Linked DNA regions of Callithrix jacchus. The protein of the gene in region 1 interacts with the protein of each later gene in a biochemical or structural test. Links are inferred from orthologs where the notes say so. Each region holds a gene or a part of one and is shown on either strand. Other genes may lie near its edges.

What was found.
Region 2: the proteins of EHD1 (region 1) and SNAP29 form a complex in vitro, tested with the Homo sapiens proteins (2 studies listed by BioGRID). The link is inferred for Callithrix jacchus from reciprocal best matches to the Homo sapiens genes EHD1 and SNAP29.

Annotation. Positions count from the first base shown.
Region 1 is NC_133511.1:121,931,803-121,935,319, forward strand, and holds part of EHD1 (EH domain-containing protein 1), read right to left. Parts: intron 507-3,517; coding exon 94-506; intron 1-93. UniProt on the Homo sapiens protein: ATP- and membrane-binding protein that controls membrane reorganization/tubulation upon ATP hydrolysis. In vitro causes vesiculation of endocytic membranes. Acts in early endocytic membrane fusion and membrane trafficking of recycling endosomes.
Region 2 is NC_133502.1:193,253,531-193,257,047, reverse strand, and holds part of SNAP29 (synaptosomal-associated protein 29), read left to right. Parts: intron 1-1,634; coding exon 1,635-1,831; intron 1,832-3,517. UniProt on the Homo sapiens protein: SNAREs, soluble N-ethylmaleimide-sensitive factor-attachment protein receptors, are essential proteins for fusion of cellular membranes.

The DNA of each region.
Region 1 (3,517 bases):
ATGGGTCTTGGGCAGTCCTGGGACCCTCAGTGCCAGTCTCAGAGCCCCACCGCCCTGCCTGGCAATAGGCCGCTCCCCTCACCCAGGGCCTACCTTGGCCAGCCGCGCCCGCTTGATCAGGTCATTGAGCTTCCTGAGGGCAGCGTTTCGGGGCAGAGACTGGATGTCCTTGAAGAGGTCCTGCTCCTCGGCCTCAAAGAGCTTGCGGTTGTCGGGGATGAGGAGCGGGTGGGACCAAAAGGAGCCGATGTAGACTCTGACCACCTCAGGGGTGTTGATGATCTTGCCCAGGGACCACATGAGGGCCCCGTACACCCGCATCAGCTGCTGCGTCTCGATCTGGTCTGCCTTGTTCAATACCACGCGGATCTTGTCCTCGTGGTTCTTCAGAGCCTTGATCACTTCCGAGAACTCATCAGAGATGTCCAGCTTATGGGCATCGAAGAGCAGGATGATGCGGTCCACCCGCTCGGCGAACCACTCCAGGACAGCTGCAAAGTCATAGCCTGGGGAGAGAGAAGGGAGAGCTCAGGGGCGCCAAGGGACCCGCTGCTCTGATGGTTCTCATCTCTAACCTGGCCTGGTATTTCTCAGCCTGAGATCGTTTTTGAAATTCCTAGAAGGGGCCAGCATGGTGGCTCACGCCTATAATCGCAGCACTTTGGGAGGCCGAGGTGGGCAGATCATGACGTCAAGAGATGGAGACTGTACTGGCCAACATAGTGAAACCTCGTCTCTACTAAAAATACTAAAATTAGCCGAGCGTGGTGGTGCGTGCTCGTAGAACCCAGCCACTTGACAGGCTGAGGCAGGAGAATCGTTTGAACCCAGAGACAGAGGTTGCAGTAAGCCAAGATTGCACCATTGCACTCCAGCCTGGGCAACAGAGTGAGACTCCATCTCAAAAAAAAAAAAGATTCCTAGAAGGCACTCATCTAGACGGTACAGCACCCTGAAGGCAGGATCACCTTCCCTGTTCCTGCCCCCGCCACAACACTCGCCGACCCATGTAGCACCTGCCGTAAACACGTGCTAATGCAAAAGTTGTCCCACAGTCCAAGCTCTAAAGTGGGTTGGACAAGGGCAAGAGTGAGGAGGAGACCTAGCACTGTGCTCAGCATGGCACAGAGGGTAGAACACAGACTCCAGTGTTGCCACCTGCCAGCTGTGTGCCCTGGGATGGCCGTGACAAGAGGCGCCTGCAACAGTAAGTGCTGCTGCTCCTCATTCAGTGTGGATGTGCCAGGCTTCCCAGTTTGCAGGGATCTCACTTATTTTCTGCAACAAAGGTTGGCAAACTACAGCTCCGGGATCAAACATGGCCCACCACCTGTTTATGTAAATAAAGTTTTATTGAAACAAAGCCATGCTCATTTGTATTATCCATGGCTTCTTTTGTCTGACACAGCAGAGTTCAGTCATTGTGACAGAAACTATAAGGTCTGCAAAGCTGGAAGAATTAACTATCTGACCTTACAGAAAAAGTTTGCTGACCTCTGCTCTACAAGAAAAGCAACCCAGGAAGTGCTACAAACCACTTCCCCTTCCTGGGTCTTAAATACTTCTCCAAAGAAGTGGCTGGACTGGATAGACTCCAGCTTTAAGCTCTACAGTCTTTCTTTGGTTTTTAATTTTATATTCATTTTTTCAGAGACAGGGTTTTGCTCTGTCACTGGGGCTGAAGCACAGTGGCACAGTCTTGGCTCACTGTAACCTTGAACTCCTGGGCCCAAGCCACCCCCCACCTTAGAGTCCTGAGTAGCTGGGACTACAGGCATGTGCCACCATGTCTAGCAAATTGTTAAATTTTTATTTTGTAGAGGTGGGGGTCTCATTAAGTTGTCTACGCTGAACTCCTGGGCTCAAGAGAGCCTCCCACCTCAGCCTCCCAAAGTTCTGGGAAGACAGACCTGGGCCAGCATGCCTGGATTCTAAACTCTATTCTATATTGCTTCCTACCAACCTGTTACGGCCCAGTGAAGGCCCAGCAATTAAAGTGAACTCTGTCGCCTGTGGCAGACTGCTCGTTGGAATTCCATCTAAAGGAGGAACTAGACATAACTATCTAGTTTCAGCTGGATTCGTGGCCTCGCAGCTTGAGACTGCATTTCCCAGCATCCCTTGCAGCAGAAAAGAACAAGAAAAGGTGCATGAGCCCTTTGTTGTCTTCTCCCTCCTGAGGACTGGGACGCAGGCGTGATGGGAGGAGCCGGAGCAAGCACCCCGTGTTCAGAGATGAAAGCTGCATGTTCAGAATGGCCTTGGACTATTGCTTTTCACATAGACTATCAGATATCTGACTTAAGCCAGTGAGTTTTGGGTTCTGTAACCGAGGTTTAATTGGAATCCTGTTTGACAACCAGGCCTCTTCAAAAATATTTCCACTTCGGCCTGGGCAACATGGTGAAATCCCATCTCTACAAAGGTGGTGCAGGCCTGTAGTCCCAGCTACTTGGGAGGCTAAGGCAGGAGGATAACCTGCACCCAGGAGGTTGAGGCTGCAGTGAGCCACGATCACGCCACTGCACTCCAGCCTGGGTGACACAGTGAGACCACCTCAAAAACAAAACAGAACAGCCAGGTGCGGTGGCGCACACCTGTAATCCCAGCACTTTGGGAGGTTGAGGCAGGTGGATCATGAGGTCAAAAGTTCAAGATCCAGCCTGGCCAAGATGGTGAAACCCCTTCTCTACTAAAAATACAAAAAATTAGCTGGGCATGGTGGCACATCCCTGTAGTCCCAGCTACTAGGAAGGCTGAGGTAGGAGAACTGCTTGAAGCCAGGAGGTGGAGGTTGTAGTGAGCCAAGACTGCACCACTGAGCTCTAGCCTGGCGACAGAGCAAGACTCCTTCTCAAAAAACAAAACAAAACAAAAAAATCCACACCTCTTCCTCTGCCCCTAGAGTAAAACTTCTCTGTCCCTCATGGTCTAGGAAGAGTAAGGAGTGACAGGCAGGCTGTGTTGAAACAAAGGCCTGGAGTCCTGGAGAGGGGCCACATCCTCTCTGGCTGATTCTGGGCCAGCCTCCGTGTCCCTGGCTCAGTGGCTCAGTCTTCCCACATGTCTCAGGTCACCCAAATGTAGGCCAGCCCTCTTCAGAAGCACCAAGTACTTCCCAGAGAGCAGCCAGGCTCTGGAAATGAGCTGGAGAAGCCACTCCTGCACGGGACAGTCAGGATTGCCCAACTCAGACCCAAACCCTTTCTCACCCCCACAGCCTGCTCCCAGCATCTCCGTGAAAAACACTCACCACCCCCTCACCAAACTGGGGATGGAGACAGGCGCTCTCTAGACTGAGAGGGACAGAAAAGCAGCAGCGAGGCAGGAGCTCCAGGGACAAAGCATCAAGGAAAAGTGGCATCTGGGCAAGGTCACTCACAGTGATGGGAGGCCAGCCCTGCCATCCCCAGTGGGAACCTGCTGCTGACTGTTCCACTGCATGGGGCCCCCTTGGTGGCATCCACTGCTCCCACCCTGTGAAGCCCTCCAGGGGGAAGGCAGGTCCACAGCCCTG
Region 2 (3,517 bases), on another chromosome or scaffold:
ATTGCTAAGCCACAGGGTGATGCATGGATAGCAGATTTAGAGGAAGGCAGCTGAGGGGAGAGCAGGAGAAATGAAGCTCGAGAGCCTTCTGGCTGGAAAGACAGCTCACAGATGGGCCACAGCTGTAGATCAGTCCTGAACTAGGGACTGAAGCAAGTTTGTCATGAATAAAGGAAAGTGGTAGTGTTGATGTTGTGGTGAGTATATTTTCACAACGAGAACCACTGGGCAGATTTGCAGAGACTCAGCAGTGAACAGAGCAAGTCCCTGCCTCATGAAGCTCATATGCCATAAAGAAAAGAGAGGCTGGGTGCGGTGGCTCACACCTGGAATCCCAGCACTTTGGGAGGCTGAGTTGGGTGGATTGCCTGAGGTCAGGAGTTCGAAACTAGCCTGGCCAACATGATGAAACCCCATCTCTACTAAAAATATAAAAAACTAGCTGGGTGTGGTAGCAGGCGCCTGGAATCTCAGCTACTTAGGAGACTGAGGTAGGAGAATCTCTTGAACACAGGATGTGGAGGTTGCAGTGAGAACCTCTGAGCTTGGGTGACAGAGCAAGACTCCATCTCAAAAAAAAAAAAAGGTGGAGAGGAGGGGTGGTGGTTGGAAGGAGTTCTCCTTTAGGGAAGATGTCTGGGAAGGCTTCTCTGAGAGAGTGGCCTTTGAGTGGAGACCCTAGTTGGATGAGGGATGAGAGGCTGAGCTATACAAGTTATCTGGCAGAGATTACAGGCAGAGACAGTGGTACGTGCAAAGGCCTTGGGACAGGGTCACCCATGATAACAGGTTTTAAAGCTGGAACTGTGGGTGGACTGGAGTCAGACACTAATAGGGCCCAGAGAAGACACTGGTACCTGAAATCGAATTTGAGGATTTGACCATGGCCAGGAGGTTCAGGTGGCCCAGTGGGAACTCCTAAAGTGGGAACTTTCTAAAGAATGTAAGAACCAGAGTCCAGGGGTCAGTGCCAGGCCCAAGCCTATGAGGGTTCCCCGAGTTTAGGGGCTAGAGAGAGTCTGGTTGCAGTTCAGGCCCTGGACTCTGACCCTCACAGGTACACTGCCTTCCATGTTTTGTTTTGTTTTGCTTCTGAGAGTCTTGCTCTGACACCCAGGCTGAAGTGCAATGGTGTGATCCCGGCTCACTGCAACCTTCACCTCTCGGGTTGAAGCAATTCTCCTGCCTCAGCCTCCTGAGTAGCTGGGATTACAGGAACCTACCACCATGCCCTGCTAATTTTTGTATTTTTAGTAGAGACGGGGTTTCACCATGTTGGCCGGGCTGGTCTTGAACTCCTGACCTTGTTATATGCCTGCCTCGGCCTCCCAAAGTGCTGGAATTACAGATGTAAGCCACTACACCTGGCTTCTGCCATCCATCTTAACATGGCACCATGAGCCAACCTCTCAGGAAAAGGGTGTCACGAACAAATGAGGAAAGCAAGCAGAGGTAGGGCAGGGAGGGAGAGGCAGAGGAACTTGTTGGAAACGGTCGTGTCCCCTCACAGACGAGATCACCCACCTCCAGATGTGCCCACTGAGAGTTTATGAAGTGGCTGCTGCATGTATTCCTTGACTGCCCTGGGGGAGAGGTCACAAAGCTATAATGCCACTGCCTCTCGGTTTCCTCAGGAGCTTGCCCGTCAGCGAGGAGTCCTGGAGCGCACAGAGAAGATGGTGGACAAGATGGACCAAGATTTGAAGATCAGCCAGAAACACATCAATAACATTAAGAGTGTGTTTGGGGGATTTGTCAATTACTTCAAATCCAAACCAGCAGAGACCTCAGTTGAACATAATGGCACCCTCATTTCCCAGCCCAACAGCAGGTGAGTGTGTCTTCTACCATCTGGGTATAAGGGAGCAGAAGTGGGGTGTAGTGTAAATGACCAAGACTTTCACACATCCGTGCCATAAACAGATTTAGCAGCCCTTTAAGTTACTCATCGGGGGATTTGTCCTCAAACATTGTGAAACCAGGAGCTATTCTTCCCTGTTCCTATATTCATTTGTTTGACATCTAGTCTGTCAGTTGCTTCTCCAATAATTGTGACCCCACTACTCTGAAAGAGAGGGTGTTCACCTCAGAGAGCATAATCAGTACAAAGTGACTCACTTTACATAATTTTTGCTTTAAAAAGTCTTTAGGGGCTGGGTGCGGTGGCTCACATCTATAATCCCAGCACTTTGGGAGGACAAGTGGGGCGGATCGCAAGGTCAGGAGTTGACCAACATGGTGAAACGCCATCTCTACTAAAATAGAAAAAATTAGGTGGGCATGGTGGTGCACGCCTGCAATCACAGCTACTAAGCAGGCTGAGAGAGGAGAATTGCTTGAACCCAGGAGGCAGAGGTTGCAGTAAGCCAAGATTGTGCCACTGCACTCCAGCCTGGGTGACAAAGTGAGACTCTGTCCCAAAAAAAAAAAAAAAAAGAAGTCCAGTGGCTCATGCCTGTCACTCCAGCACTTTGGGAAGCCAAGGTGGGTGTATCACTTAAGCCTAGGAGTTCAAGACCAGCCTGGGCAATATAGTGGGACCCCTGTCTTTACAAAAAGTATCCAAGCATTGTGGTGGACACCAGTAATCCCAGCTACTTAGGAGGCTAAGGTAAGAGGCTCTCTTGAGGACTGGGGGTCAAGGCTGCAGTGGGCCGTGATGGTGCCACTGCACTCCAACCTGGGCTACAGACGGAGACCCTGTCTCAAAAAAAAAAAAAAGTCACGGGCCCATAGTCCTAGCTACAGGGGAGACTGAGGTAGAAGGATCGCTTTAGCCCAGGTGTTAGAGACTGGAGTGAGCTACAATGGTGCCATCGCACTACAGCCTCAGTGATAGTCTCCCTGTCAAAAAAAAAAAAAAGGCCAGATGTGATGGCTTACGCCTGTAATCCCAGCACTTTGGGAGCCAAAGTGGGTGGATCATGAGGTCAGGAGTTTGAGACCAGTCTGGCCAATATGGGGAAACCCTGTCTATACTAAAAATACAAAAAATTAGCTGGTTGTGGTGGCGTGCGCCTGTAGTCCCAGCTGCTTGGGAGGCTGAGGCAGGAGAATTGCTTGAACCCAGGAGGCAGAGGTTGCAGTAAGCCAAGATCATGCCACTGCACTCCAGCCTGGGCAACAGAGCAAGACTCCGTCTTAAAAAAAAAAAAATTAGGCCGGGCACAGTGGCTCACGCCTATAATCCCAGCACTTTGGGAGGCCGAGGCGGGTGGATCATGAGGTCAAGAGATCGAGACCATCCTGGTCAACATGGTGAAACCCCGTCTCTACTAAAAATACAAAAATTAGCTGGGCATGGTGGTGTGCGCCTGTAGTCCCAGCTACTCGGGAGGCTGAGGCAGGAGAATTGCTTGAACCCACGAGGTGGAGGCTGCATTGTCTGGGTAACAACAGCGAAACTCTGTCTTAAAAAAAAAAAAAAATTTAAAACTAAATAATTAAAAAAGTTAGAAATTGCTTTCCTCAAGTTTTGGCTCAAAATGTAATAAAAACATACATGAAATTTTGGCAG